Arabidopsis thaliana: one gene and its partners. The protein of the gene in region 2 interacts with the protein of the main gene of each other region in a pairwise test. Each region holds a gene or a part of one and is shown on either strand. Other genes may lie near its edges. The genes, in order: AT1G51200, MBD7, NAC097 and bZIP5.

Region 1 (9,207 bases), on a different chromosome or scaffold from region 2:
ACAGCTCTACAATGCTTATCTTCAGAGTAACCCTGGTCTGCTTCATGGATTTGTCTCTGATAATAACAACACTTCAGGGTTTCTTGGAAACAATGGGATTGGTATTGGGTCAAGCTCTACCGTTGGATCATCGGCTGAGGAAGAGTTTCCAGCCGTGAAAGTCGATTACGATATGCCTCCTTCCGGTGGAGCTACAGGGTATGGAGGATGGAATAGTGGAGAGTCTGCTCAAGGATCGAATCCAGGAGGTGTTTTCACGATGTGGAATGAATAAAAGATGAATTCTCTGTGTTTTTTGCGAGGCAAGGTAGGGTATGGAATAATTAGCTACTTTAATTTCCACAAGTATTAGGATCGGCTGGAGTCTTCTTGATTAGTAGAGGATTTAGTGTTTTATTTTCTTACTTTTGACGGCGAAGATGATAAAACTTGTAGACGGCGGTTATCAGAGTCCTCGAGGGTTAGTCTTTTTAGGGGTACTATAGTAACATTAGAAAGTACCCGAATTTTGTTTAAAAGCTAACCCTTCTGACTAATTTTTCAAACTTGTATTCGTAATTTATAATTGAAGATTTATTGTTCTTATATTTTTATTTGATTATACATACTTACTAGGATTTAACCCATGGTACACCACGTAGCAAATATTTTATTCATATATATAATAATATTAAATTTTACGGTTTTAGTTTAGTATTAAAGTTATATAATTTTATATTAATGTTGTAAATAAAAAAATTAATGATGATAAAATAACAAAATAAATATTTAACCTGTGTTATATTAATTTAAATCCATCTTGCTATATTTCATATCTATCCAAACCCGTCCGGCTATATTTTTCGTCTCATGATATTTTAATTTTTTATAAGTTTAAATATTAGTTGTGGAATTAGTTGTGATTGTGATTTTATGCCGAAAAAATTATGAACTTTTAATTCCATGGAAGATTCAAACCAAGATAATGAATGTTTTTAGGTGCACATATAATTGGATTTGTTCATCATACGGGATAGTAAATGTATTTTGGTTTGTTTCACAATGTTTGTTTTAATTTATTGCCAAAATTTAATACATATAATTCAAATAGTTCAAATTTTTGTTGTTTTAAGATTTAATGAATATTGTAGGTGAGATAAAAAGAAGATAATTTATTATGTTTTGCGTGACATATGGGATTGCCATATATTTTAAATCTTTTTGGTTTGTTACACAATTAATTGCCGTAAAAAATCAAACCATTAATTAAAAAAATCAAATAATTAAAATTTAGTGGCAGCCATTGTAAATAAGTCACAACTCCATGATTTATTTCACAAAATATATGCAAAAATGTATATGTAGATTTATGAATTTAAGTGAAAATTGTGCATAATTATAATGCTTACTATGTCTCTATACATAATCTTTAACTCTATTTAGTCAGTGTGCACATAATTTTTGCTTATTAGAAAGGTTTCTTTTGGAAGGACTACAACTCTCAAGTCCCTCAACAACCAATAATGGGGAAAGAAGCTTAATTCTTGGGTCACAAAGCATATGCCTTTTGGGAAGGAGTTTAAAAACATACTTATCTGAGTTTCTGGTCGTTACAAGAATGAAAAAATATGGGTAGCTCGAGATCTGTGATTATGCGTTTACTCACATAGAAATAACATTCATTTCACTGTTGCATTGATCTATAAAAAAAATGCTGGTAGAACAAAACGTTGTACGAAATTAGTAGTGTATAACTTCCTCCACTTCTCCAAACACCAAATCTTGGATCATTCTTAGAGATTTTAATCAAATCATCACTTTCAGAAGACTATTTCTCGGTGAGAAATGATTCTACCCCTTCAAGGTATGATTGTATAGCTTACATGCTTGTTAATCAACAAATGGATTTATTTTTTACTGACATTGATTTTTTCCATACTAAAATCGACAATCAAGGACTTAACCTGTTAAGAGAAAGCTTCTTAGATAACTATTCACATAACTGTATAATATTCTGTTTTTCAAAATTGCATGTAAAGTAAAACAAATAACATATATTGTATTCTTTGTTTCATATATAACTGACTAATTAAGGAGTTCAATTCACTTTGAAAAATGACAAAGAAATAAACTAGCATTTTAACTTGTTGAATAGCCAAACAAAATGCTTTTGGCTTATGATTTTAGAGAATAGACAGTGAAATACAAGTATTGCTCAAACCCAAAAGTATGTATTTTCTCTGATTTTTGTAGTGCTTACAATTAATGATAATGTTACAAGTACTAGACTTTACAAATCTAAGAGACACAAGGGAAGTTTTAGCATTTTTGATCGATTCAATTGAAGTACACGGATATGCAGGTACATATTATGTGTATAATGTAAGAATAGTCTTTGTTGTTGAGTTGCACACAAAAAAAAAAGTCTTGGTTGTTGACTTTCAGAAAGAAAGTAAAGTTAATAATTGATATTTTTTAAAGAGTTGATCATCCGTAGGAGAAATAATTAGTGGTAATTTAAAAATATCTCTTATTATTTACATTAGGAAACCATACTTTGATTATCCTTAGACATGTCTTTATAAAACTCGCATGTTAGATCAGCTTACAATTGTTTAGTATACAACTCTTCAGAACAAAGAGACTCTTGTATTGTGACATTTAAACAAAAATACTTGATTTTTGGAATGATTACCGTCTCAAAATAGTTAGATAATTTTTTTGCTAAAATGATTGCTAAGACTTTAAAATAAAATAAACATAAACTAGAGAAGTGAAACTGTAGTTTTATATAGTTTATAACTATATACAACCGTATATATTTCTCATAGATGTGATCCATGAGATTGTATATGCTCCATTGTAGATACTTGAACTAATAAGAACCATTCTTTTATTAATAATTTTGTTGTCTAACAATTGCTTAAATCTCTGTCAAATTTATAGCCTCTTATCTAGAAAAATGAGATCATAGATATTCATAGTAGGATGTGAGTGGCTCCAATATGTCTTTGAAGAAGTTGTTTAGTGGTAGGAGAAAAATTATTTCAAGACTCTGACTTCATTTCATGAATTATCTATTATTCATATAATACAATTGCTTATGAGTTATCTTGCATCCATTAAAATTTGCTAAACATAGCTAGATCTTCTTGTCGGATACTTCTTCGAGAAAGAATCTTGTTTAATTGGCAATTATCACCAAAATTATATAAGTGGTTGTTGATACACAATCCATTATCAATAACACTAATGATCACATAATCTGTAATTTTTCATTACATTACTCAAAAAAATTCTATTCAAATTTGTAGAAATCTCACAAAAATATAATTTAATAGCAATGTATGGATGATTTTAATTCTCAGTTTACATAAGGAATGAAATTATATATTATGAGTTACATATATATTGTATGCTATGTATCTCTCTAGCACAAAATTAGATTCATAACATATACTATCACCTATTAACATTAATTTATATGTCATACTACATAAATTAATATGCGAAATTATGGATGATGCACAAAACACATTAGTAAGAAAATAAAAATCCCTAAAAAAGTAAGAAGAATCTTTCTTTAATCAAACGAGTCCGAATTTAGGAGAAGTGAACGAATTATAAGGGTTGTCCTGTTGAAACGACTAGTATGAACAAGAGGCGGACCAAACGACATATAAAACGAGCTGACTAATATTGGACAAGCTCGATGGGTTTGAGGACGAGCTAATAGTGCACTCTCTCTATGTCAACATAAAGTGTAGATCTTGTGACAAGACTTGCTATTTTGTATTTATAAGAACCAAGATAGGACATATGTCAAAGTAAATTGGTGGATCTACCTTCCGACCTATTGACATGGTTTCGGCTTTTTATAGACGCTAACTCATCGATTAGGTTTTCTTCCAAACGAATTTTAAGTTGAAAATAGACCCAATTACCTTAATTATTATTGGACATTGTCCATTCCTTGAGTTTATTCCAATTAAAACCTGAATTGGAGGAAGCCCAATTCTTCCCTCAACAACTATGTTACCCATCTCCTCTTAATATATAAATTTTTAAAATATAAAAGATTATTATTAATTAAGAAGTTTACAAACACTTGTCAAACAATAACCATAATAAAACTGGAAAAAGAATATATTATATTCTAGATATTAACCAAAAAGCTTAATATCATTTTCAAACTATTGGTAATTAACTAATTGTTCTTGAAAAATGTAGTGTCTAATTCCGTTTCAAAAAAGCGAGTTAACATTTGGAAGCCTTAACTCTTTTTTTCAAAAAAGTAAAATGAATTGAAATTTGAAATGAGTAAAAAAATCAAAAGCAGAGCCAATAAGATACGTACACGTCATAGCCGACTCTAGCACAAACGGTGTGAAACGAAAATATAAACGTCGCTACAAAAAAAATCGTCGAGACAAACCAAAAAAAAGCCTAAAAAGCCGACCTTTTTTCTTTCTTTCTCTCCTCTACCTCTCAGCTTCTGCTGGATCTCTCCAGCAGACACGATCTTGTTCGGAGAGATTCGTAGGGTAAAGGGTTTCTCTTCTTCTCTATTTTGCTTTCACCTTTATAATCTTTTCTGGGTCTCGATTTTGTTTTCTAATTTCATTTCCATTTCGATTCGATTCCTCCTTTGTGTGGGAGGCCTTTGTTCGGTCAACTTATGTGTTCTGTTTTTGTCTCTTTTTTATTGATTAGGGACCGATCTATCAAGGCTTCAAGGGCAAACAGGTGAATTAGCTTTTGGGATTTGGTTTTATTTAGGGTTCATTTGTAAGCTGTTGATGTGAATTCTTTTTTATGGTTCTCGATTGTTTAATGATTTGATTGTTTGGTTATATTTGCATGTGGGTTTTGTGTGTGTTTGGAAATTTGAATGAATTGATGTGAAAAGTTGTAACTCTTGTTTTTGTTGATTTAAAAGGCTAAGTTTTGAAAATTTTCATTTCTGTGGAGAGAGGTAGTGTTGGATATGAGTGATATTAGCTATGTGGGTTTTGTATGCTTTTGAATTTTGAAATGAATTGCTATGAAAAGTTGTAACCTAAGAAAGGTAGTGTTAGATGGAAATTAGATTAGTATGTGAGTTTTGCATGTTTTAGAAGCTTGAAATGAATTGCTTTGAAAGTTTATAGCTTTACGCTGATATAAGAGGCTAATTTCTAAGTAGTGTTGGATAGAAATAAGATTAGCTGCTCTAATGTTTTTAAAATGATTCATTTATGATTCTAATTTGCCTAATGAATGTGGTACTAGGTGCTAGGTAACCTAGACACTTCTGTTTGGTTGGGTAGCTTATTGTTAGAAAACAGGTCAGCAAGATTTGTTTGTCTGTTTCAGGTTCTAGAGTTAGCAGAGAAATGGCTCTAGGCTTGCTTTTGTTCTCTTCTTTCTATTTAGTTAAAGATCCTGAATTATAGGAAGGTGCTTATAGGTAGTGTGGTTATAAACTATGAAGATCATGTGTAAGGTATCCAGATAAGTTATTTCATGAAAAGAATTGTTCATCTGCTTATTTTCATGTGTATGTTTTGCACTGATTTTCTAAGGCAACTGATGATACTGATTGGGTTTAAATGTACTCATCATCGTGAATCTTCTGCGAATTTTTGTTTTATTTTTCCATGTCACTGAGACTGAAGATGGCTGATTTTAAATGTAGAAATGGACCACGACAAGACAGGATGCCAAAGCCCACCTGAAGGTCCCAAGCTATGTACTAACAACTGCGGTTTCTTTGGAAGCGCTGCCACAATGAACATGTGTTCTAAGTGTCACAAGGATATGTTGTTCCAACAGGAGCAGGGCGCTAAGTTTGCATCTGCAGTGTCTGGAACATCGTCATCCAGCAACATCATAAAGGAAACCTTTACCGCTGCGTTGGTCGATATTGAAACCAAATCCGTTGAGCCGATGACTGTTTCTGTACAGCCATCCTCTGTCCAAGTCGTTGCAGAGGTAGTAGCACCAGAAGAAGCTGCGAAACCAAAGGGACCAAGCCGATGTACTACTTGCAATAAGCGGGTTGGCCTGACTGGATTCAAATGTCGCTGTGGGAGCCTCTTCTGCGGAACACACCGCTATGCAGACGTACATGACTGCTCCTTCAATTACCATGCTGCTGCGCAAGAGGCGATAGCTAAGGCAAACCCGGTTGTGAAAGCAGAGAAGCTTGACAAAATCTGAAAATCTAAGTAAACTTCTCTGGTTTCATCAGGTGGCCTGGTGTTTCCTTCTCCTGTCTGTGTCTGGTTCAAGTATTCTCATGTTAAAAAGGTTTTATATAAGGTCGAATGAAAGCGTGCTTGATCTTTAGCGTCTTCCATCTCTCTGTGGTGTGGAACTTTCTATTATCTGTGTTTGCAAGCAGAGAAACGTGCTCTTAAAAAAAATGCTTTGTGTGTTTATCTTTCTACTATTTTTGAGCACTGTGTTATTGTTTCCTGTTTGGTCTGTATCATATTGAGATTGTCTCTGTAGCTACATGAAGCTTATTTAAAAAGGCCTGTGTTTGTCCTTCAATCAGTGATTCCTTTCAATTTCTCTGGTTGGTGAGTTATGTAACTTTGCAAAGTCATGAGCTTACTATATATGTGTATATATGGGTCGATAAACACTGAAGAGCTCGCTTTTTCCTGTTCTGAGTACGAACGCCCATAACCATAGAAGAAGGAGATGATCGTAAGGAGACAAAAGCTCCAAAGGGTGTCGTCCTCACTTGCTTTACAACATGTCCTATGTGAAAAACCGACGTCGTATCAAGTTGCGTAAGCATCGTATCAACTTGCTCTAAACGGCATCGTAGGAGTTGCTTTAAACGTCACCATACTATATACTAGTTCCTGAGGACATCGTATAAAAATGTTTGGAACTGTTTGGTTCATTGCCTACACAACAAACGGCGTTTTATCTGATTTTACCGGTTTTTTGATGAGTCATCACTGATAGTGATAACTGATGCGCTTTTGCTTCACCGCAACTCCTTCTCAACCGCAACCATTTCACTAGAGACACATGTAACTATCTCAACCGCAAGATTTGGCAAACAATCAAGCGTACGTTCGTTTTCCTCATAAACCCCAGCACCGCATCTTCTACGTACTTATTCCGCTTTCAGTTTTGTTTGATTTCACCAAAATACCAAACAATATTTTTTTTTGTTTTGTTAAAGAACAACAAAAACAAAAATTAAAATAATAATAAATAATAACAAAATAATAGTAATAATTAACAATAAAATTTACTATTTTTTCTTTACTTTTGTTTGATCTCATCATCAAATATAAATACAAGAAATTTTATGATTTTCCATATATTTTTACTTTTTCTAATTGAAGTTTTTCTTCAAATTAATTAAAATATATAGAATATCTAAATAATATATTATTAAACTTACCAATTATTATTTCTTTTTTAATTAGAACAAAATGTCATTGTTAAATATAGATGAAAATCAACTCTCATGAATCATTATTTTGCATTTAATTTTTGTTTCTAGTTTTACGTAGATTTCTTTCTATTTAGTTTAGACTTTAGAGGATACAACTAACTTGATATTTTTTTCGCGTTTTGGATCCAAATTGAAACTATACACATGGCATACATAATCTCATCAATTTAAGTATATAACACACTTCAAAAAAAGATAAAAAAAATTAGACTCGTGTTTTTTTTTTGGTCAACAAAAAATCTAGACATATAAAATGCCAATGCACATATCATCGTACATTAACACACACATCATTCTATAATATCACCACCGAGCGTAAACAACAACCGAGAAATGAACAGAGCAATGCCGCAGCCGCGACCGGAAACTATACGTGGCAGTTTAAAACCTCACATCATGGTGTTTCCATATCCAGCACAAGGCCACTTGCTTCCTCTTCTCGACTTAACCCATCAACTCTGTCTTCGTGGCCTCACAGTCTCCATCATCGTCACTCCTAAAAACCTTCCTTACCTCTCTCCTCTTCTCTCCGCTCATCCATCCGCTGTTTCCGTCGTCACTTTACCTTTCCCTCACCATCCTTTAATCCCTTCCGGGGTTGAAAACGTTAAAGATCTAGGTGGTTACGGAAATCCCTTGATCATGGCTTCTCTTCGTCAGCTTCGAGAGCCTATCGTCAACTGGTTAAGTTCTCATCCAAATCCACCGGTCGCTCTCATTTCTGATTTCTTCCTTGGATGGACCAAAGATCTTGGTATTCCTCGCTTTGCTTTCTTCAGTTCTGGAGCATTCTTAGCTTCGATTCTCCATTTTGTCTCTGACAAGCCTCATCTCTTTGAATCAACTGAGCCTGTCTGTTTATCGGATCTTCCTCGCTCCCCTGTTTTCAAAACAGAGCATCTCCCGTCTTTAATCCCTCAGTCTCCATTATCGCAAGATCTTGAAAGTGTTAAAGACAGTACCATGAATTTTTCGAGTTATGGTTGTATTTTCAATACTTGTGAGTGTCTGGAAGAGGATTACATGGAGTATGTGAAGCAGAAAGTGAGTGAGAACCGCGTTTTCGGTGTTGGTCCGCTTTCTTCAGTCGGGTTAAGTAAGGAAGATTCCGTATCCAATGTAGACGCAAAGGCATTGTTGAGTTGGCTAGATGGATGTCCAGATGATTCAGTGCTCTACATCTGCTTCGGAAGTCAAAAGGTGTTAACCAAAGAGCAGTGTGATGATCTGGCTCTTGGTCTCGAGAAGAGTATGACCCGATTCGTATGGGTGGTTAAGAAAGACCCGATACCGGATGGGTTTGAGGATCGGGTCGCAGGTCGAGGAATGATTGTGAGAGGGTGGGCTCCTCAAGTGGCTATGTTGAGTCATGTGGCGGTTGGCGGGTTCTTAATCCATTGTGGATGGAACTCGGTGCTGGAAGCGATGGCTAGCGGAACAATGATCTTGGCATGGCCAATGGAAGCAGACCAGTTTGTAGATGCGAGGTTGGTAGTGGAGCATATGGGTGTGGCGGTTAGTGTATGTGAAGGGGGTAAGACTGTGCCTGACCCGTATGAGATGGGTCGGATTATCGCTGACACAATGGGTGAGAGTGGAGGCGAGGCGCGTGCTCGGGCTAAGGAGATGGGATAGAAGGCACGAGCTGCAACTGAAGTAGGAGGAAGCTCTAGTGTTGATTTAGAAAGACTTGTCAAAGAATTGAGCTCTCTAAAGATATGATTCTAAATGAATAAGCTTTTAAAAAGAGTTCTAAATGAACA
Region 2 (8,806 bases):
AAGCAGCACCGATCATCGGACGGTCGAGAGTTTATCCAGCGGAAGAATGAGAGCTTCGGCTGTGTTAATGCAGCTGATATCGTGTGGTACGATGTCGTTTAAAGAATGTGGGCCTGTTTTGTTGAAAGATCAAGGGCTGGCGTTGAACGGGCGTAGCGGGTGTACGATAACGCGAGGAGCAGAGGATAATGGTGAGGAGAGGGTAGATAAGGAATTAAAGAGTTTTGGAAGGGTACAATTGGAAGATAAGGAGTATTTTAGCGGCAGTTTGATTGAGACCAAGAAGGAGCTTGTTCCTGCTTTGAAAAGATCTTCTTCTTACAATGCTGACAGGTAAAAAAATAAAACATCAAGCAGTTCGATTTCTCTTTAGATGAAACGGCACGTAGTTCTATTTTAACTTTTATGAATTTACCCGTACATTGGCAATTATTGGTTATGGTGTGTTGAACTGTTGATTGAAAGAGCTGAAAATGGTAAAGTTTGTAGAAGTACATTTTGGGGTGTCTTTCAAACGTCTTCTCAATTTTTAAAAGTTCTAATAGTTTTTTTTAATGAAATGAAAGGTTATAATAATTGATATTTGATAAATTTTATTAGGTGTTCAAGAATGGGACCAACGACGGAGAAGGATGAGGAAGAAGCGGTTCGAGCTAAGTGCATTCCGAGAAAACCAAAGCCGGTGGCTAAAAGGAACAATGGTGGGCAGCAGTAACAAAAACGGCACGATGAGTCTAACAAGCTTATTTTGGGTTTAAGTAGAAGAGAAAAGTAGAATAGGGAATGATGAGTTTGTAAAGCATTGTGAATTGTGTAGGTAAACTATAACAATTCCTTTGCATGCTAAAAAAATTAAGAGTTAACATGATGGGTGAATATATAATATATAATGTTGTAGTCTGAGCCTAGGTGTCTTTTGAGGTTAATTTCAATCTGGTTTTCTTTTATAACCCCAATATTACTTTATCGTAGTGATTGGGAACCTAAATTACAAATTTCAGTTAGTTTTGACCATTTTTCATACTTTTGGGGTTTCATTGATAGCTCCTTTCAGTTTAGAGTAAAATATCAAATGATCATAGGAAGCTTCTTTTTCCAACATGCATAGTAGTAGTACTACTAGTAACCATAGAAATTAAGGTGTAGATATTTACGATTTTGGACCAAATACATAAAGAACAACAAAAATATATAGATTTGTAGGGAAAACGCCCTCCAACAAATTGACTTGGCGTGATTAGTTTACAGAAATTACCAGAAATACATCGAAAACATTTATTTATATACTATTGAATACTCCATTGAAATGTGGTAAAGTGATAGTTTTCCTTGAAAGTGTAAATAGCTTAGAGTCAATGTTGGGGTGGTACCTTGAGGCTACAAATTATTCAGGGAAAAGTCTCTATGCCCTTTAATTCTGGCCTATTTGGCTTTTGTGGCGTCAACTCCAATATCAATTTGCAGCACGTACACAATATTTTAAAAATAATCGTACCAAAAAGAAATTTCAATAACCAACAACAATGTTGTCTTTTGACTTTGAAATCTTAGAAGTTTCCACTTACCCATTTCTAGAAGTCTTAAATAGCACTGTTATTCAAAATCTTTTTCATTGTACATCATTAAACTCTATGCAAAAGGAGAAATACATTATAAATTCCCACAATCTGCATTCATTAGTATGGAAACCAGACTTTTAAGAATTTGGTTTATTTTGTCAAAGTTCCACATCAAAAAAGGAATTAAATATAGAATTACACATACAAAGCATATGATAATTCACTTATTGATATTTGCTTTTGAGTTAAAAGTAAAGGTTGACAAAAATAAGAAAAAGGTTAAGACCAAATTCAAAATAAAGTACACTGTATTATATTTGACATATATCTAGTCTATTGCGGTACATTCAAGGATAGATATAGAGATAATTATATAAATATACATAAGATCTTGCAGTAGGTGACTGACTTCATTGAAGTGAATTCATACATATTTTGGTAAAAAGATCTGTGATTGCGTGTACACGTTGTGCTTCACAGTTTTACTACAGTTAACATTATTTTTTCTACAGTTTCACAGCAAAAACCGGTGAAGAGAGGTAATTATATCTCACATGGAATACGATATAATTGTCATATAAACCCTCTCAAGTCTCAATCCAAGAAACCAAGGTGAGCTACTAGCTTTAACCGTTAGTAATAACGATGGACTCTCATAATCGAAATAATCTTGTAAATTTCTATATTATACTCGTGAGAACCACTTGGGGCGTACACAAAATGTTGATTTTCATTTATAGTTAGATTCATACTAAGTATTTGGCGAGTATGTTTAACGAGGAGAAGTTGTTAATACAAAAATTAGAGAGGAAGCACACAAAATCATTCTTAGACAACCATTTCACATCAAGCTTGGAATTTTGAACCATTATTTACACCTTACTACAGACAACTTCGAATTTTAAGTCCCCAAACTTAATATGAGCACTAACATACCTGCCCGAATAACCAAAATCCGGTTCACACCGAATATGAAATTGAAAATTTTGGAAAAGCCGGTTATTTGGGTCAGTTATAAACTAGACCGAAGTATGAACTTGAACAGACTACCGACTGGAATTAGCTCTTGTTAACCGTAAACTAAATTGACAAACCTAGTTCGGTTAAGAGCGGTCTTCGATCAGTGAAACAAATGCCTCGGACCATGTATGTTTAACCAAGCTAGAGACATTCGATCCGCGTACATTCGCAGTGAACATGTTTCCGCCGGAACCGGTAAGAACCCACTTTACTTTCTTCGGTGGGTTTGGGTCAATAACTTCGCTCTGAAATCTGATACCATTCCGGTTCATCAGAAGCTGCCACAGTCAAACCGTTACAACCTTGTATAGAAATGGTTCATCTTCTTTACCTCTAAATGATGTAAAGCTTAAAATCAAACTTCATCTATCTTTAAGCTTAGAAAACTTACAGGAAGCCGCTCCGAATGCACCATAGAAACCGAGTCAAGTGTAATGTTCCCGACTGATATCAAGTATCTCTCAACGGCTGCCATGGAACGGAATTTATTCCCTGTTCCTGGCTCAATATATGACTGCAAACAACAGTACTAACGGTATTGAACGTTTGGACTATATGACACAAACCAAATATAACCAAACTACCTAAGTATCAGATATGTACCCTGTCTATATGACTGGAACTTCTTCGCGGTTTCTCCTCAACGATCCATCCATCAGGTAACCTGAAATCTTTGGAATGGCCACGGCGATTCTGTAAAACCCTAAGCTGCTGCTCTATAGAGTTCCGGGATTCTCTTAAGTATCTCTCAACGGAAACAAGAGAACGGAAGCGCTTTCCTGTTTTTCGCTCAACATAATACTGCAAAGAACAATACTAACGGTTTAGCCAGAGATTCAATCCTAAAACCACCAATTCAACGTATCCTTTTCACATTCTGCTCTTCTCACATCCCACATTTAACCGACCTCAGTTGTTAGTTATGTGACTCAGTAACTTATGCATAGGGTCTAAAATAGCTATAGCAAGTCTCTACATTAGTACCTTATCAATATAATGAGAGTTTTTCCTCGGAACCTCCTCAACGGACCATCCTCTAGGCAATCGGAAACCTTTGGAGGCATATTCAACTCCGCAGTGATCCTGCAAAAGCATAAACACACTGATTTTAAGTATTTGATCCAAGAAGAACCATATGCTTCTGTAATTTCAAATCAGAACAAAGGACCTGTTTGGTTCTTGATCCTTCATAAACCCTTGTCTTGTCCTGGAAAAAGGATCCTGCTCGAGTCAAGCGTCTGTCATTTACTTCTCCAGCCAAGTGTCTGTGAATAGCTTCTAGTGATGAAAACTGTCTACCAGTCCCTGGCTCGATAAAGTACTGCCCACAAAACAAAACAAAAACAAGTAAAGATGAGACTTTTCAGAAGAGAACCACAAGATCTATCTTCAACTCAAGCATATACCCAAAGAAACGACTCATAGACCTCTCAAGCAACAATCAAGAGCTCTGTGGCAACACAATCACTAATCTGATCCAAGCATTACACTTTGGTCATACATATCCATTGCACAAAAGACATAAATTAGCTCTAATTGTTCAAATTCTGAGAAAAAGCTCAAATTTTGTTTCACATTTGCTTGATGTAGCTCATATTTACCGTATCAACAACACCGTTGTTGCTAGATCGCGGCCGATTCACGACGGTCCAACCAGGCATAATCTTGCCGCAAAACGAGGTGGGATCCGCGATCTGCAACTGGGTTTCGCGGCGGTGGTTAGCCGAAGGAGAGGAAGAGGATCTCGTCTGCATCGCTTCGTTGCCGGGTCTAACCCAAAAGCCCGAGACGAGAGTGTGGTTTTTAGTTTGGTCGTCCAAGCCACACACACTTCTTATTTCTCTGTCACTGCTTTCACGTAACGACACGCAAAAAGCACCATATGTCCACTTGGCAAATTTTTACCTTAATACAAATTCTGTAATTAGAAGATGATTAATGAAAAATAAAGTTAATAATCACATGCAAATCAAATATGCTAATCACAAAGATAATAAAAATAATCAATGTTTTTGGTTTACTAGCTATACATTTTATTTTAGGTAATGAATTATATGATGCCGATAGTTATTTGTTAACATCAAAATAAAATTAAACTGTTTTAAGAAAGAATGTGTTTTAATTCAATTTTTTTTATTTTTTTTTTGAACATTAAAATATTATCCAAACATATAAAATGATTCATAGAAGAAAAGTGAGAACGATGAAGTAGAATGAAGAATGAGGCTAGCTTGAAAGTTGGACGACGATGGGACTCCTAACGTAATGATGTGAATCAGTCCACGTCAGCTCTCCAAAAACGTAGCCTGAAGGCGTCACTGGCAAGGGACGAAGAGTCATCTGAAATATCTTCACTTCACCAGTTTTGTTGAACGTGAGCTGTTTTGGCTCCACGGAGACGCGAACTCCAAGTGGCTCTCGGAAACGAGCGTTGTAGGTAGCAGGTGGTCCAACGTTTTTGAGTTTTCGGGTGACGGTGATAGAGCCCGTGAGGTTTGGGACAGTGATTGAAGGGTAGTTGAAGTCGAGAAGATTGGCTCCTTGGCGACACGTGTACTGTGGGTCCTCGGCAAAGAGTTGAACCACGGTGTTGTTGTAGCCAACGGCGCAGAGGAAGTCCAAGTAGTCTCCTGTGGTGAGATCATAGACAAGACCAGGATGGGCGGCTTTATTGGGTTGGACATGGCCTGAACCGTAGCTGAAGGGATTTGCTTTCTTGAAGGATTCATCAACCATGGGCTTACGTCTGTTGTTTCTGGTTCTTGAAGTTGTCATGATGGCTGAGCGGATAGCTGCAGGACTCCAATGAGGGTGAAGTGTTTTCAAAAGACCAACGACACCGGAGATGTGAGGACAGGACATGGAAGTTCCTGATTCGGTGTTGAAAGGAGTTCTTCGATTGTCAGAGTCTAAGTCTGTAGGGCCCGTGGCTTCCGTGAAGGCGGCTATGATGTTGACACCGGGTGCAGTGATGTCGGGCTTGAGGATCCCTGGTGTGATGGTGTTTGGTCCTCTGGAAGAGAAAGAGGCCATGAAAGGAGCAGGCTTTGTGTTCAGCGTAGCGGTAGGTGCTTTGATGTAACCTTTGGGATCTTTTGTGGAACTTAGGTAAGAAAACAAAGTTTCACCATCTTTGTAGTCAATTTGTGAAGCAGGAAGAACATGAGCGTCTGAGATGATTTCGTTTCCACTCGCCTTGTCGTTGCATAGAACCATTCCCGCAGCTCCAGCAGCAGCCGCTTGCATTCCCTTGTCCACACGTGCGTTGTCTCCTCTCAGACACACCAAGATCTTCCCTTTCACCTTCTTCGGGTCTAGGCTACCTTTCTTGCATAGCAATCTATGTAACCATCACTAGTTAATTAGTACTTACTTAATTATACACATTCCAAAAAATAGATATCAAGCGTTTACTTACGCATCTGTCACATTTCCATTGGCTACATTAGCATCTGCAGCACTGATGAGGCTATACATCTTTTCTTCAGGCAAAGGCTTTGAGAGGCTTGTTCCCTGCTTTTCAAAATTAATTACTTGTAGCACAAGAAAGAAAGGAACCAAAAGTGAAAGAAAAAAAAAAGAAGACGAGGTCAAAGTATCAAACCTTGAAGCTTTGGCCGTTTTTGAGCTCAACAAAAGCTTGAAACTCCCGATCCATGGAGCTAGCACCGACTGTAATAACCCATGGTGCAACGTTTGAGACAGTGCCAGACTTAGGACCTGAATTTCCAGCAGAGCACACAACCGTCACCCCGTTTTTGACGGCGTGGAAGGATCCAATGGCTATACCATCGCTCATGTAATCTCCAGCATCTCCTCCCACTGAAGCCGAGAGAACATCCACGCCGTCTTCGATGGCAGCCTCAATCGCTGCCAAAATATCAGCATCAAAGCACTCCGCGCCATCCACAGGGGGCCAGCACACCTTGTAAGCCGCGACTCTAGCTTTAGGAGAACCACCACTGGCTGTTCCATTCCCGATACCAAACACATTGGCTCCGGGAACAAAGTTACCAGCCGCGGTGGAAAGAGTGTGGCTACCGTGACCATCGTGGTCACGACAGGTTTCATAGGAGGCGTTAGAAGGAAGGCCTGTGTAAGCTAAGTAACCTTTGTTGAAGTATCTAGCACCGATGAGCTTCCTGGTTACATGTAACGAATCAATAATCACATTCTCTGTATATTTCTATATTTGCAGAAAGAAGTCAACTAAATTAAGATGAGAACCTGTTGCAAGGAACATCCTTGTGGCATCTACCTTTCCACCTAGCTGGAACAGCTCCATACCCTTCATCGCTGAAGCTTTTTGACTCAGGCCACACACCTTCATCAACATACATATTTTATATCATTCATAACTATGAAAGCAATTATGATGACCAAAGCATACCCTTGTTTTGAGATTTACCTGTGTCTAAGTTAGCGATGATTGTATCCTCTCCGTATCCTGCTTTATTCCAAAGAGAGGACTTGTGAACAACACCATTTTTCGCAAGGAGCATGAAATTCCATGAATGAGTGGTATGAAGTTTTCTTCCTTTGTTGGGGAATACAGAGACTACATCAGGATGCTCTGCATACAATTATTTTAAAAAATTTGTTAGGTTAAACTAAAAGGATTGAGAAGCATCAAAAGCAGAATATGAGGTTTGATGATCTCACTGGCGATTTCTGCAGCTTCATTTTCGTCAAGAATTGCGGCGAAGCCATTGATATGTCTCTTGTATGAGTAAAAGATGGCTTCTTTTGCATTCTCATGGCTGCAATAGAGAAGGCAGTTAGTTTCTTGGTGTGTGTATAAGAAAACTCGGACTAAACCGGCCGGTCGGACTAGTAAACCGGCAGTCCAATAGTAAGTAACCGGGGCATTGCACTAAACTCAATTTGGGTGAAACTAATAATACTTTTTAAACCTAGATTTTAGTCCCTCGCTTAAACCCGGGAAAAAAACAATGTCCCGCAAAATTTCCACGAACAGCCTCGTACGTACCAAATGAAATCCTAATTTTTTTGTTTCGGTTTGAAATTCAACATTAAAAATGATTATTCTAATTTTTCTTTTTACTTACCTCTAATTGAGTTTGGTTCAAGTTGTGTTTTACTAAACACAGATTACTTTTTTGTTCAAATACATTTAACAAAGATTTTCTTACAAAAAACATCAATGTCATATTAGAGATCCAGCGATTTGAAATATTTCCGCAAAAAATTCAATGTTATTAACCTAATATGTCATATTAGATGATCCAGCAATTCAAAATACTTCCGCAAAATATTCAATGTCATTAACCTAATATGTCATATTAGATATTGATCCGGTGATTAGAAATACTTCCCGGTTTGCTATTTGATCAAATCTTTAAAACATTGGTTTGGCATAAATAGGAGTAATGGTACCTTCCAACGAAAGAGGCGAGAAAAGTGCGATGTGAGTGAGCAACACCATCGAGATGGGCAGAAGAGATTTGAGGAAGATGGGCGTGAGATCCCAAGTACACTATGTAGGACTGTAACACAGTAGGAAACAAATTAATGCATATCGATCTTACGAGCAATGTATATAGAAAGTGAGTTACATAAGAAAAAAGAGAGAGAGGACCTTTTTAAGAGCAAAAGCAGGAGAGAAAAAGAGAGTGACGAGGAGAAGAAGAGATGATAAACTTTGGAGGCTCATTTTGTTTGAGTATTGAGTACTCGAATATCTTCTCGTCATACTCATATACAAAATACTAGTTCTCCATAAATCTCCCTCTCTCGCTATATTTGCTAAATAGATCGAATCACGCTCAGTCTCAGTCTCAACTTAATTACTTTTAAAGTTTGTTGAGTGATTTCAGCCAGAACTCTATCTCTTCCTTCAACTGTTATCTAATTCGAAAAAAAAGGTAAGAGGATCTTCATAATCTTCTTTCCATATTTATCTCCCTATTATTTGGAATTAAACTAAAATTTTGACTTTGTGGGTGATTTGTTTGACTGCAGCTGTAGAATTTTGTTTATATTAATTGGTTGTAGTTGTAAGTTTTTGAATATAGATATTTTATTCTATTAAATATGGTTTGTAAAGTTAGTAACTGACAGATTGTGCCAAATGTAAACTTTCATGATCAGATGTTTATTATCTCTTTATGTGGTATTGCAAACTTACACTTATGTTTTATTTTAAAATGTTTAAAGCATGTAATCATAAGTGAAAACTAAATTTTTTATTGAAAAATATCTTATAG
Region 3 (7,871 bases), 3.4 Mb from region 2:
CATTTTAAGGGATTGCAATTGTATTTTGGTTTGTCAAATCTTTTTTTGTTTTAAATAGTTTTCGAAATCTAGTTCAAGTTTTGGAGAAATCTGCGTGATATATGGGATTGGAATATATTTGGAATATTTTTTGTTTGTTAATCAATTTATTGCCAAAAGAAAATCAATAACTAAAAGTCAGTGGTAACCATTGTAAATAAGTTTTAACTCCAGGATTTATTTCACAAAATGGCTGCAAAAATGTATATATAGATCATATAGACATAGTTATAGCTAGTTAATATAATAAACTAGTAGTATACGACTTTTTCACGTTTTGGGAAAATGATTTCACTGAGTTCAAACCATTCACGAAATGTTTGTATTGAATAATAAAACGTAAAATTAACAAGTGTTTTTTTTCCTCTATATATTATTTATAACTAAACTAGAGAAACTTCCTTCATCTAGTATCTCTTTGCCGTTTACAAAAGTTATCATTCTATTGATTCCCCTATTTCATAATTCAGCTAATCGGTTATTTATTTGACATATCAGTCAAACCCATTGCATTTCTATAAGAGTGCTCTTTTTGGCATTTTCGTGAGGCGGAGGAAAGATTTGCAGATAGTATTACTAATAAGTACGTATATTACGTGGATCTGTACAAGAAAGGTTCTATGGTGTAGTGGTTAGCACTCTGGACTTTGAATCCAGCGACCTGGGTTCGACTCCCGGTAGGACCTTTATTTTTGCATCCTATTTTATTTTCTCATAGATTCAGCCCATCTTGCCACAATTAGATCTGGCCCATCTTCCATCCAAATTAATCATTTTGGGCAGTACTCTAATCAATTCATTATAGCGAGAAGTAGAGGCAAATTGGAATGTATTGAAATTTACTGGATTGAATTAATTGCTAAAAGTAAAACAGTGATAAATCCAAACAATTCCTAGCCTTAAGAAGGCCTTTACTCTTTTTTTCTCACGATCTCTCAGTGTCTCGAGGTTTTTTGGTTTGTGACTTTTCAAAGTAAAGTGCCATTTCACCACAATCTCTATGTGACTTAGCAAGTTTCATTGTTTCAACCCAACCCTTGTACAACCCTCCTTATTAAAACCACATTATTCAACACTTGTCTCTTAATATATTACTAGCCATCAATAACAATCTCAATCACATAACCATAAAGAAACACCTAAAACACTTATCCGAGAATACTCTTGCAAGATCACTAGAGTAATAAAAGGGATTTCAACACTTGCCAAGAGAAACAAAAAAAGGATAAATTAAAATTCCAACAAGTATGATATCCTCCAATCAATTTTACTGCGAATTAAAGCGTTTCATGATGATCATACTCATATCCATGTAGCGTTGAGCACAATGAGTGAGGCAAGAACTCTCGCTTGAGCTGAACTTACTTCCCGGTGCGCTTGTGATGCATTTGTCCCAGCACACACTTGTCATCTTCGACACCATTTCGTTCACCATTGCTCTTTCTTTCTCTTGCTGCCACACAAACACACACCCACATTCTCTTACAATTCACCAAACATAAACCCAAGACAAAAAAAAATCATTACTTTGCATAAACCCTAATAAACCCAATTCTTGTAAACACATATTAGTACACTAAATCTCAATTCAACTTGATTCTAATCATACCAACTAAATCACACATGAAAAAAAAAATCAGATCTTTCAAGTTTAAAGCATCGAAATGTTAATTTGACCCGTCAACGAAGATTCAAATAAATGGTTTCTGTGAATCCAGACAGGACTTAAAACACTGCTTCTACTTATAATTTCGCTGTCCAAATGCTCAAGTTTCCATGTGAATCGACTTAAAAAGCTTTAAAATTGAAAGAACTAATTAGCATTCATCAAAAACAAATCGGAGACTTACGGCGAGGAATTGAAGCAATTCCGGGTTGTTTGCCATGCTAGGATCCATGTCTGGTGAGCTGAGAGCGTCTCTGCTTGAAGAAGAAGAAGGAGAAGAAAATTGTTCTCAGCGACTGAAAACCCTAAAAACTTTTCTCAAAAACCCCAAAAGGCTACAATAAAGTTCAAGAGACGCCGCTTACTTACTTATTGGGCCAAAACCCCCATTAAAAGCCCAACAGTTAAATAATCATATTGAGATCAAATATGTAAAAGTTTGATTTAAATATGGATCATGATCTGGGCCGAGTGTACGGATATATAGGGTGGGTAGACTCAGTGATTTTAAACCCGGACCCGACCGGTTTAATAGGGAACCAGCAGGCACATTTGGGTCTAAACTAGTCATAAAACCGGACTTTTTAAAACTCTGATGGAACCGGGAACTGGCGGTTCACCCAGCTATTTGTTGACTAGTTCATGTATTTTTTTGGTGGTGTATATCAAATATTCTTCTAAGAATTCATTTGCTCCAAGATAATCAAAATGTTACAATCTCCATTGTGATTAACTTTAAAGTTTAGAGGTCGTCGGTTCGAGTGACGCTTGGAACAAATTTCGGACCTAAGGGAATTACGGGCTTCGTCCCAAAACCTCCTGGTATTCAAAAAAAAAAAAAAAAAGGAAAGAAAAGTAACTTACTTGACTAACTTAGTATGCTTTGGTAAACCCATTCAATTAGAACTAGATTCAAAGACATTATTTTAAAACTATTTTCTTTTTGCATTGGAGAACCAATCAAAAAATTACGTTCAAGTGTATGTATGGTTAAAAAGAATAATTGAACATGAAGATGGTGCTTGTACCATATCAATATCAACCATCAATTGACAACACTAAGTTATAAAGAAATGAAACTTTTCATTTATGTATGTCGTTGCTTAAGAAATGTCGCTAAATCATCAAAATCTAAAGTAAAAAGAAGATTGAAAACAAACAAATAAAGGAAATGGAAAGCCAACATCTTCGAGGTGAAGAAAAGTACCAAATCCAAAATGCTGCGTGGGAGGAGTAAGACATATGATTCTAAATTGACAAATTTAAAGCTTTTTCTATATCCTTTATGAATATAAAACAAATAGAGCTTTGCCTACTTTCAACACATGAAAATTATATAGAGAAATTTTGGACTAGAATTAAAGCTAGATGTTAACAATTTAAAATATTTATCAAATATAAGCTAGTCATGTTGCATTCGAATTAAGATTCAGCAAAAGAAAGCTGATGAATACTCTCTTCCAAGTTCCAACCAATTAAACTAATCTCGATTCCTTAACAATGAAACAATCATCTTTAATCCATTTCATTTTCTTTTCTTAGTCTTTCGAAAGACAAATTATGTAACCTTTATTTCTAGTGTATAAAACATAACATTATACAAAGAGGACTAAACCTAAAATGCTATTTGTAAAAATCAAAGGCTGATGCTGGAAAGTTGAAGCAAAAAATTGGAACAACTTTGGTTTGGTGGGGGCTTTGGGAGCTTTATTGATCCAAGGAAAAAAAGGAAGGATAAAAGGCAAGTCACCAGTCCAAAGACACACATATATACAATAATTTATCTAAAATAATTGAAATTAAAGAAGTGCATGAGAGTAGAAAATTGAGTCAGACCAACATCTAATAACTTACTCGTTAAGTCAGCTTCTCAAATCTTTAAGTTGGGATCGACTTGGACTCTCTTTCAAATTCACTTTTGTTTTCTGAATATACTTTCTTATATTTTTCTTATTTCTTAATCATTGCTTATGCATATTTACTTAAATTTATTGTTTTAAAAATGTATTGTATCCCGACATTATTATTTCACTTGCCAAATGATAAAGACAAAGAAAATTTTGATTCCTCGATGATATAAGTTTTCCTTTTCCACGTATAAATTTATACCAAGAAATGATTTTACTACAAAATTATAGGTTGAACGTACGTCCAAAACTTTCGCTTATTTATGTACATTCATATCTATAATTCGTATATCATTCCGACATTACTATAAGAAAAAAAAAGGGTCGCATGGATATTTTTACATGGATGATATATACACTAGTCCCTAAACATGTGTAAGGTCCCTAACATAAAGGTTTGTTTTCTTTTTCGGTGTGAAAACATTTCAGATTTGGAATAAACACTGTGGTAATTTTTCGGGTTTAAATCCACTCTAAACACTTACGTGTATTTTTACCTGGGCTAACCGATCGGCTTATGAAAAATAAAATTTCAAATGCATGTTAAAATTAGTTCTGGGCCAATTGTTAGAAATGTGCTCGTTTTAGTTATTGATGTTGAATGTACTTATATGGTAATGAATCAGCGTGGATCTAGGCTTTTGGAACTTAAATCTTGTTTATTTCGTTTTGGTTGAAAAAATAAATAATTACCTTTGCCCAGGAAAACGAAAAAGGAACTAGATTATCTTTACCAAAAAAATAAAGATATTTTTGAATACTCGCTATATTCAAAACCTTAACAACGTTGACTGCATGGGTACATGCACCACAATTTGTTATGATGATCCTCGCATTTAAATAAACAAAAATGAAACCAATCTACGATCTCTGAATTTGCAGTTATCAATTTTTTTTTATCTATTTATCTCTTGAAATTAATAGTAGTACGTAAAAAGTATCTAAAGGAAAAGCAGAATCCGCTTTTGCCAAACTAAAGGTGACACACTCATAAGTATATATAAACAACCTAAACCAAACACAAAGGATACTCATAAGAAAGCAATGGACATTTCTGCGCAGAGATTTGCCATGAACGGAAGAAGCATGAGACTCCCTCCCGGGTTTCGGTTCGATCCCGATGATGAAGATCTTGTGTTCGAGTATCTCGCCAAGAAGGTCCTCCACCGTCCAATGGACTTCGATCTCCCTGAGCTCCGTTCTTGCAATGTTGATCCATGGGACTTGCTAGGTTTGCTACAAACTCTTCTCTCTAATAATTACTATACCATATCACGTCAAATGTATTGAAAAATGTGGTTTAGTGAATGTTGTACGTACACTTTTGTTGTAGGAGAGAAGAACAAGGAAGTGTATTACTTCGTGAAGAAGGAAGAGCGAGAGAGGAAGGGAAGAGAGACGTTATCCGGTTATTGGGAAGAGTGTGAAGAAGAGGAAGTAATGGAGGCTGGTGGTCGTGATTGTATTCATTTAGAAGGAAGGAGAAAGACATTTGCTTTCTTTATTGGAAAAAAACCTCGAGGGACAATAACTCCATGGATCATGTACGAGTTCCGACTTCTTTCCTCTAGAGCTACAAGGTGGTCATCGTCCCCTCTACCTCGGGTGAGTCACTCATTGGACTTTTATCTTTTTCTATAACATATATTTTTGTTGTAAGTAATAGTTTAGAGCTAACTATATCAATGTTTTGGGTTTTAAAGGGTGAGGTAGGAAAATGGAGGGCGGTGAAAGTCGTAGTGAAGGAAGAGAATGATGAAGAGATGGTGGAGGATGAGCACGAGTCTGACGAGTCTGATGGCGAGGAAGTTATTCAAAGCCGGTGACGACCGAGGTTGATGCCATAAATATATGTACTTGGTTTTGTGGTGAATCGTTTGAATTTAGTTACTATTGTTAGGATATTAGGGAACATCTAAATGAAATATATATGCATGATTTGTCTTATTGTCTTCCAAGCCCTTTGGAATGGAATGGAATGTAATTGAGGATGTGGTGAAAGATGCCACAAGTTGCTTTCACTCTCCCGTTTTATTTTGTTCTTGTCCAATTATATATATATATATATTATTAGTGGTCCGTTAGACCAATCCATCCAACATCACATGAGGAGGTCTTCCCACAATATAAATACAACTAGATTTTAATCCGCGATATACCGCGGGACGATTTATTTTTTAAAAGTAATATATATTAAAATTTGCAAATTTTATTTTTATAAAATATTTATATTTTACAGTTTATAATTATTATTAAGTAACGCTATACCACGAATCCATGAGACAATTTTTAAAAAACTGAAGTTGTAACCCCTATTAAAACAGCATATTAATAATATTTTAAAATTTTATAAATATTGATTCAAATACATCCACCATATAATCCAATTCCAAAATAAAACCTGTTGTATAATTTCTTTACCCGTCCCGTGATTTTTTTTTAAAAAAGTAATTTTTAAAATTTAAGAATTATTTTTATATATAAAAGTTTTGCAAATTATATCATTCTCTAATACATTTATATTTTATAGTTTAATTTTATATATAGTAACATTATACATACTACATAATATTTTCGGTTTTATATAATCTTTTCTAAATTAGGATGATTTGATATGTTTAATATTAGTGGTCTTAAAAAATAATAAATTAAATATTTAACCAGTATTGAAACGGTGGATTAATTATATTTTACTTTTTTATTAATGTTGATTCAAAAACCCGTCACTCCAAATCTGTCTTGCCAAAAAGCCATTTATTTTATTAATATTAATTTTATTAATGATATGACTCTGAATTATAATCTAAACATTTTAGCTAATAAATAGGAGTACACCATATTTATTTAATAGGGGAATGTACCATATGACCCGAATGCACTTTTACCCAAATCCACCAAAAAAGTCTTGCAAAAATACTATAGAGATAAGAAACGATAGTCGGTTTTGATAGGTAAAAGATTAGCAAATATATTAGTTAGCTTAAATTAGTTAAAGAATACAAATTGAAAAGGTATATTACACTTTATTCGAATATAGTATCAAAACTTATATAACACAGAGATTTGATAATTTTTTAATTGTTGAATACTTTTTTTTGTGCTAATTTTTATGTGATTAAGATTTAATTGATTATATATATAAAATATTAAATTGTTTTACGAACTTATTTGTTTATAATTTGGTAACAGATAGATATTTGAGTATTCAGTATATTTTGCTTCAGTTTAGGAAATCTTTGATGACCCGTCTTTAGATCCAATAAACCTTATAATCTAGATATTAACCTGCAGTATACCGCAGGTAGGCTTATATTTTAGTTAAACTAAAAACTTTTATTGTAAAGATGATTTAAAAATATATGATATTATTTTATTTGATTTTAAATGTATAGTAAACTGTGAGTTGTATATGTTTTGTTGATATTATGTATATTGTTTAGTGTTTATAATTAGACACTTGTAGTTTAATTGTTAATTTAAGAGTTTCACATGTAGTATACCATCTTGTATTAATATCGATCTAAACCCGTCAATTCTAGGATTTTCCAGCTTGTATTAAAAATTGAATCACATCATACACATAAAAAAATCTAATATGTTATTAATTATTATAGTATATAAGATTATAAATTTTCAATATAATATGTATGAAATTGAATATAAATATTTCAAATTATGACCCGTTACTCAGTAGAAAGTTTTCTTAAATCTATTTTTCACCCTTTATAATATTTTTTCATGTATTGAACAGTTTATATTTGTTTTTAAAAATTTAAATTATGGCATATGCGAAAAAACTCTAATTTTTTTTTTATAATGATGATATTATTTTTTCGCAAAAATAGAATCATATAAAGATGAGAAGTGAACTATAATAATTAATAAAAAATTAATATGATAATTTAGATATAAAATCTAATTTGTTGATTTTAATAGGTTACTTTTTTGGAAATTAATAATGTATTTTTTTAAATTTAATTAAATTAATTAAAATTTAAATATCAAATCTTATATGTTGATCTTGATTGGTTATTATTTTTGAAAATTAATAATGTATTTCGTTTTTTAATTAAATTTAATTAATTAAATTAGTATTTGACTTTTTAATCCTTAAAGAGATAAATTAATTTACTCTTTAAAATTTTATTTCTAATGATATACCTATGTAATTACTTAAAAAATTAATGTTATATTTAAAATGTACTTTCCAAATAATATAGTAGGATATGTAAAAGAAAGTATAATATTTTAATGTTTGG
Region 4 (7,767 bases), on a different chromosome or scaffold from region 2:
AGGAAATGGCCAATAGAGCATTTTCACCAAATTCGTGAGGTGGTCCTTAGTGCGACACACTCTTTTCACTTTCCATTACCACAATTAACTATTCTTGTAGAAAAAAGTCATACATTATCGATTAGTTGACAATTTGCATGTTAGTTTACAGGTGTATAAAACTACTCAAACTGTTTTAGTTATGAGCCCATCTTTAGCCCGTTTATAACTTTTGTAAAGCCCAATGCAAAGCTAACTCGGTCACATATATGACAAGCTTGGGGGTAGTAGCTCTTGATGGATTCACACGTCTAGAATGTAAGAAAGTTAGTGTTTGGAATCTATCATGTGTTCTCTTTGAAAGCGACGATCTTGAATCTTCTAATTAGTTACTTATACTACAAATTATGTATCATTAAATTCATACGTATGATATGTAATGAATGTGAATGAGAAAGACCAATGCATGCACTAGCATTTATTTCAATTAACTATCACAAGCATGTCTCCTCCTTATTTTTTCATAATGTTCATGCCTTTATTATGTCTCAATTCCACTCAAAACGTAACAAAACCGTTTGATAGACACGTATATATAGTTTGCATGCATTTCGCAAGTCTAGTCTATCAAACTCTTCATTTTCACTAATCGATTTTGATCACTAATCGCATAACAAAACCATGTCCTCACACAAAAATAAATTGCTTTTGTCATCATCAATATCTAATAGAGATGAATTAGAGTTAGCTATGCCAACAAATGTTGATGATAAAATGGTGGTACCATCATTGCTACCTTTGCCACCACCATATCCGTTATCATCAAAACAGTTGGCTAGATCTTCCTCGTTAGTTAAATCATCGTGTATAATGAAATGGAAAAAGACGGGAAAGAGACGAGAAGAAAAAGATGATCCTTTTCTTATTGCGTTGAGAAAGTGTTCAAACGATACAAAAAAATTGACGATGATGACCCTTTTTTTACTGCGATGAGAAAGCAGGGTTCTAATGATATAAACATTGCCGATGATAAGATTGTGTCTAAAAGGAAGAATAGTCTTAAAAGTCTAGTTTCTTGCAAAGCTCCTTCTGTCAAAGATTGATTTTGATTCCAAATTTTTTATTCATTATTTAAGATATCATCTCTCTTCTGTTTTTATTTTTTTTACCTTAATAAATATTTTAAAATATGAATATATATCAATTAGTAAAGCATCTTATCATGAACATAAAAAGGTCTTCAAATTATTGAATTTTCTCTCTTTTTATTCTCCATCTGTCGTTAAATTATAAGATCATGTAAAAGGTTCCAAACTATAAGTAAAATATCTCAAGTTGTCTAAATATCAAAATCAGATTTTTAGTTACTCTTTTTATCTCTTTCCTTTCTCCAAAGTGAAAGAAAAAATAGAGACAGCCAAAAATATCGCAAAAAAGATTTTAGTTTTTGTTACCAAAAGGATCATTTCATACCAAAATTTGATTAATCGATCTCTTTGAATGAGTGTAATCTAGCATATTATTTAAATAGACTTAACGTATGACACCATTATATATCTACTTGTTCACAATAAATGAAAGAGTTTGAGGTACAAATCTAGCATGGTGCATGGAGAACCCTAAATCTCAACCTTCCGGCCACCACAAATGGATTACAAAATAAAAACTTGAAATAAAAAGAAAAAGACAGATTCATCAACACTCAGCTTTGTAGTTAAGTTGTTGTTGTGTATATATATGAACCACATTTGGTTATTTTCCTTTAAATTTTCATTGTCTGTTTTGTTCACGATTTGTTATGCCCCTTTTACATCGTATTAATTCAATGCATTCGAAACCTTAAATATCATATCACAACCTTTAAAGTTTACGCCAGAAAAAGTATTACAAATGTTAGGGAAAAGCATTTTAAAATTTTGTTCATGACTTAAAGTTGGCTACTGTCTACTGTCGAGCCGATTCATGGTCAAATCGTGGACGACAGATATTTGAGAACAAAAAGTAGAAAAATCAACAATAATGGGTATGAATACGTGTCATGATTTACACCGTAATCTTTATTTATCTAAATCAAATAATGGCCGCATCTTTATTCTTATAATCCTCACTAATAATTTCCCCCTTCACATGCATTAACACAAATAATAAATTAAGACAATATAATAGTTTTTTCACTTTAGACTTATAATATGTTTAATTTGATAACAATGGTATTGTTATTATCATGTCTCCATATCTCGTGAAAGGTTAAGAGGGCCTAAAACTTCCGCTCCTGAACATATATGTACACATATATACGTGCCCTTGTGTGTGTATTAAGAGTTTAATACTATATATCTTAGCTAATTAGGATTTAATTAAGTGTAGTTAGTACATGATTAATGCACCTATTTGGTCATCAAACCATCATTATCATCAACCTAACTTTGTCCCTGCCTATATATAGCTAAGTTCGTGATTCGTACCATGTATATAAAACTTAACATCTAGTGGAAATAAATTCATGTTATCTTACAATTACTAAGCCTCTTTATTTTCCTTTAAGTGCTTACCTTAGACCAAAAAATACATAAATTATCATGTTCAAAAACTATATATACTTCGAATCGAAATATATCCATTAGCCCATTAATTAGGATACAAAAGCTTAATTATAATTAAAAGCATTGAACCTATTAAGAAAGACCGAAACAAAGATAATGTTTTCAGGGTGATTAAGACTGCCGAGAAATTAGTCGACCTCTTTACGAATAATTGAATTTGACCTCCTTATTCAAAATAGTATTTAATCAGGCCATATTCTCATATTCTATATTTTAGACCACGAATTTATATATTAGGATACCAAGACCCATCTATTTTGTCGTTGCACGCGTCATTTAATCATTTTTCAGGGGAATAATTTACATTTGATCACTAGAAAGTTGTAGGATAGGAATCTTACAAAAATTAAATCACTGTTTCGTGTGTGACGTTTTAGAATTTATGCTTGGAATATAGCTAATTATGCTGATAACATTCTTCTTTTTTTCGTTTAACTTGTAATATATTCCTCTCAACTTATGCTGATAAAATTCTCTATCGTAAGTTACGACTATAGAAATGATCACCCTCGATCATCTAAATTCTACGAGCTAGAGACCTTTATTGTTAGAACTTAATTATGATATCGTAGTCATCTATTTCGTTTGTGCTTATTTCTTGAATATATAATGATATAAAGGTATATTCAACAAAGCTAAACGAAAAGAATAGTGAAAAGAAACAAGTAGATAAAGGTTATCGACAAATTCTGCCAGTAACCCATTTCTTCGTTAACAATTTTAAACACGTCAATATAATTAATTAATTATTTATTTATTAATATATAAAAAACGAAATCTAATTTGATAACGTATATCCATGCATTTTTCAATAATTGTTTTTACAAATTGTTCCCATTTTACCGTCGAAACAATTTCAGAAACCTCAACTTATGATAACATGATCGACGGATCTTGCTGGACCGTAACAACAGTACTGTTATTACAAGGCCAAGTGGCACAGTTTGATGAGCTTCGTTAGGTTTGACGAAACATCAAAACTTGTCTGATGTTCAACAACTTATCATGCAGTATACGGTGCTCCATAAGTAGACGATCATTTTCCATCTTCGTTCGTTGACAATGGTATAAAACGTACCGAAGCTGGTTCTTCAATTCTTGGTTCTGAATTTTGAGTTGGTTTAGCTGGATACTCATCTCCTCCAAGTGCTTTTGTTTCTTCTCTCTTGACCGCTTAGCCGATTCCCGGTTCGATAATTTCCGTTTCTTTTTCCGCTCGTCGGTATTGTCGGTCGGAGACATGTCTGAACCGATCTGGTTTACTGAACCATAGTCATGGGTCGAAACCGGTTTTGGATCGATTAATGAATCGAAGACCGAGAAGAGGTGTGAAATGTCCCATGGAGTGAAACTGGTTTCAAAAGCTGGGAGGACAGAGGTTAATAGACCCGGTTCGGTTGAGAAAACCGGGGAAATAGTAGACATCATGGTGCTTAACCGGAAAATAAAAGAGAGGACAATTTAAAATGATCTCAAAATGTAGAGATGCGAGAGAGATTAGAAGGGGAAAAGGGAAGAATTGCATTGTTGGAGGTCCATATTTATGGACGAGAGAATACACACATGAGGCTATTTTGGTCAGACATTAGTAGAATATTGATGGGGGTTTTTCCTAATAACTTTTTAGATTTACTTTTCTTTTTCTTTTTATCTTTTTTTCAAATTTTCTTTTTCTAAGAATGAAAAGAGAAAGACCAAAAGATGAGGAAATGAGTCGCATCAGGAGAGGAAATTGTTGGACACGTGTCGGTGTAGGATTAGATGTAACTCAGAAGTTTAAGTTTAATATTTCAAGTATGGAGAGCCAATCCTCGTTTCCTCGTAAGAACACTTTTCAGTTTTTACGTTTTAACTTAAAGAACATTGGATAGTACGAAGACTCAAATTTAATATTGGTCTTTAGATCTTCTATGAACGTATGATTGTTGAACGTGATCTTCGATGTTTAAAGGAAATCATTTTTGTTAGTGTGTTTTTACTGTTTAGCTAGACTTTCAAATAGGAAGTAGAGACTTAGCTTGTGTATTCAACATTTTCTTTCTTCTTTGCTAAAAGTTGATAGTTTCGATCGTAATAATCCAATTAGATAATTTTATGTAATATTATTGTATGTTTTGGGATTTTGTTTTTTGATCGTGTTCTTTATTTTTGCAACATGTGCAAGTCTAAACCTCGTTACAAAAGTTGAAGAAGGAATCTTAGTTTTTTTTGGTTAAGATTCCTTTCTTTTATGGTATATGTAACTGCAAATATAGTTAGTGAAATCTACGTTCTGAGACAGAAGATAAAGTTATGGACCAAAAAGATGAAAAAGCATCCTATAGCATTAAAAAGAAGAAGAGATATACTTAGTTTGCTGTTATATATAGTGATATGCATGCATACCACTGTATTTTAATTTTAATTTTATTTTTATTGGTCGGCATACTTTTGTATTTGAAATTAATCTGATGGATTACTATATTCTAGCTAGGTATAAGATATAAAATTGTTACAAAACCGGCAAAAGTAAAGGAACTTGGATCTATCTAATTAGGAAAGTTACACCTTGAATTTATATTGGGATATGATTTAATCGATGTTATTACGTCTTGTTTTCAAATACAGTCTTTCGAAAAGTTGTCGTATGTATTTAGAAAATTGACAGTCCTAAGATTTTCTTTATTTCCATAGAGATATTGTTGTCTTATCATCCGAATTCAAATTCGGTTGAGTGTCTATATATTAATAATAAAAGAAAAATCGTAAGTGCTACTGAGGAACTAATTTGATTCATAATTACTATTTGCTAATTATTAGTTATACCAAACCAAAAAGACTAGAGGGAGGGGAGGGAATATTCGCATGGCAGTTTTCTTAACAGCAAAGCTGTTTTAAAGAAGCCGTTCCTAAGGAATACAACAAAACAAGAAAAAGCATGGCTTAATAATCAAATTCTTTCAGCTTTATAATGTTTTCAAGTTTGTTGGAGATCATGTTCATGTGCACGACCACTTTAACTTTGTTCAACAAATAAAAACTAATTTAAAGTTATTTGTAACCAATAGTAATAACAACTTTCCTTAAAAAAACTGACCAATAGTCACAACATACTCATACGAAAACGAAAAAAACAATAATAATTTTTTCTGAAATAAAAAAATGTAGGTATTAGTTTCGTGTTTTTAACGAATTAGTCAGTAAAAACTATAGTTGTAACCTGTAGAAATGATGTCTTCTCTATTTTACTACTACAATAATACATCTAAACAAAAAAACACAAATAGACCAAAATTTGTAAATTTTGTTGTAATTTATATCAAAAATCAAAAAGAAAACAAATTTACTATATATTTTGCTGAAAGAAAAAGATAAGTTGTAAATTTACTATATGTTTGTAGTATATTTACTACAGTAAATCCTGTATAGTAGATTTTGTTTGCAATTTACTCGATTTTTGTTGCAAAATTTGTTTTCTTTAAGAATTTTTAAATCGAATCCGTATAAATTAATGTTTACAACTAACTTCTCAATTTTTTTTTAAATATATATATATTGTTATAAATTTTATGGTATACTATAAAACAATTCTTAATATAAAGCATGTACTAACGAAGCCGGCACTCCCGGTATTGGATATGGTGTTAAAATAAGGGTAATATTAGTAGATAACCAAATAAACATACAAATTAAGAAACTAGCAGAGAAAAAGTTTTTTTTTACAAAATAACCATGGACCCACTTTGTCGGAAGAAATGAAATAACAAAGTTACCCTTCATTTGTTGTAAGATAAACAGTAAACGAAACACATCTGTGTAATTTTTCAAAATAGCATGTAACATTAAAATTTCACATGTTATATTTAGTTTAAAAACATGCTATTTCAAAAAACGTCATGAATTTTTAAGAAAAAACATTATTATGAATTTTTTTTACATGAACATAATCTTTAAAAGAAAAAATTATATGTGATTTTAATAAAAACCGTGTATTACAAAAAAATAAGAATATATTTTTAAAGAAATCACGTGTGATCTTAATAAAAAACGTGTATTACTACAAAATATCATGATAAAAAGAGATATTAAACTGAATAGAATGTTTTTCCAAAAAATACCATGTGCTTTTTATAAATACTATATAATAAGAAAAAATAACAAGATAAAAAAAGGATATTATGTTATCGCATGTATTTCAAAAAAAATATATTACAAAGGATATTTACGTAATTACATGTGTTCTCCAACATATTTCCGACAAGGTACTCTGACTCAAGGTTAGTTTGTACATTCTTTTCAAATCTATAATCATTTATTATAAATTCTCTTAAAATAATGGATATGAGATGGGTCTTAAATGATCCATATATATCAGTGCTGAGGGGCTAAAACGCATGGCCCATTATACTTCTAAAAAAGAAGTATGTTATTGTAAGTCAGAGACAGCAGAGGTGTGAGGGCCAATTTAGATGATCTTAAGCTTTTTTCTTTTTTTAATCTTATTATATCACTAGAGATTATTAATCTAATCTTATTACGATGATAATCAACTACCTACAGAAAATGCGATTATGTTCTCTCGCAAATCTTCGATAAACTTTATACCATTAATTTGTAAGAAACTGTGTTTTCTGAGACTCTAACTCCAAACTTAAATGTAAAAGTATTCATGAATTTTTGGTTAATAATTGGACTAAAAAGACTTCTACCGATGATATTAAGTTAATAAGGATATATAAGTTTATATTTTGTAAAAAAGAAAAATTTGGTTATTAAAAAAAAGTTTAGAATTGGACAAACTAGATAACATTTCAACCGTCGTGAAATCTTTGAATCTTCGTTGTTATGTATATGTTCAGTTTAACAATGTAGTCCATATGATTTCATTTAGCTGACTTTTTTATTAGTATCACCAAAGAATTTGTTTTTCAGGTTTGTATGTAGGATACTAGTCTTGAGGTTGACATATTGTTGACATGGAAAATCTGCGTACAGCTTCTCTCTGCGGCGATGTTGTTGTTTACGTATTTTTCAGATCTCATCACACTGATTTTGTTGATAATGCTGCGGTTTTATATTCAGAAGAAGAACCTTTGCCTTCCGCTTTAAATTTGTAATCCTTCAGACTCTAGGAAACAAAACAAGGATGAGAGTTTTCTGGGATATCTTGTGTTGATCATGAACGAATAGGATGTACTCTTCCATG

What was found.
Region 1: the proteins of MBD7 (region 2) and AT1G51200 interact in a two-hybrid assay, tested with the Arabidopsis thaliana proteins (one large-scale study listed by BioGRID).
Region 3: the proteins of MBD7 (region 2) and NAC097 interact in a two-hybrid assay, tested with the Arabidopsis thaliana proteins (one large-scale study listed by BioGRID).
Region 4: the proteins of MBD7 (region 2) and bZIP5 interact in a two-hybrid assay, tested with the Arabidopsis thaliana proteins (one large-scale study listed by BioGRID).

Annotation. Positions count from the first base shown.
Region 1 is NC_003070.9:18,980,032-18,989,238, forward strand, and holds AT1G51200 (A20/AN1-like zinc finger family protein), read left to right. Parts: upstream 1-4,249; 5' UTR 4,250-4,523; exon of another isoform or gene 4,524-4,692; 5' UTR 4,693-4,725; intron 4,726-5,656; 5' UTR 5,657-5,658; coding exon 5,659-6,180; 3' UTR 6,181-6,603; downstream 6,604-9,207. Other genes in the region: PLT2 (Integrase-type DNA-binding superfamily protein), read left to right, coding at 1-274; AT1G51210 (UDP-Glycosyltransferase superfamily protein), read left to right, coding at 7,778-9,079. UniProt on the Arabidopsis thaliana protein: May be involved in environmental stress response.
Region 2 is NC_003076.8:24,092,090-24,100,895, forward strand, and holds MBD7 (methyl-CPG-binding domain 7), read right to left. Parts: upstream 4,444-8,806; 5' UTR 4,334-4,443; coding exon 4,181-4,333; intron 3,901-4,180; coding exon 3,748-3,900; intron 3,663-3,747; coding exon 3,564-3,662; intron 3,381-3,563; coding exon 3,183-3,380; intron 3,094-3,182; coding exon 2,971-3,093; intron 2,858-2,970; coding exon 2,663-2,857; 3' UTR 2,270-2,662; downstream 1-2,269. Other genes in the region: AT5G59790 (UPSTREAM OF FLC protein (DUF966)), read left to right, coding at 1-333, 601-715; SBT5.4 (Subtilase family protein), read right to left, coding at 4,806-5,919, 5,998-6,092, 6,184-6,721, 6,807-6,903, 6,988-7,152, 7,242-7,339, 7,977-8,086, 8,179-8,298. UniProt on the Arabidopsis thaliana protein: Transcriptional regulator that binds CpG islands in promoters where the DNA is methylated at position 5 of cytosine within CpG dinucleotides.
Region 3 is NC_003076.8:20,674,569-20,682,439, forward strand, and holds NAC097 (NAC domain containing protein 97), read left to right. Parts: upstream 1-4,653; 5' UTR 4,654-4,656; coding exon 4,657-4,843; intron 4,844-4,869; exon of another isoform or gene 4,870-4,905; coding exon of another isoform or gene 4,906-4,945; coding exon 4,946-5,217; intron 5,218-5,315; coding exon 5,316-5,438; 3' UTR 5,439-5,706; downstream 5,707-7,871. Other genes in the region: TIM8 (translocase inner membrane subunit 8), read right to left, coding at 1,307-1,492, 1,890-1,937.
Region 4 is NC_003074.8:18,452,030-18,459,796, forward strand, and holds bZIP5 (basic leucine-zipper 5), read right to left. Parts: upstream 4,097-7,767; 5' UTR 4,011-4,096; coding exon 3,540-4,010; 3' UTR 3,202-3,539; downstream 1-3,201.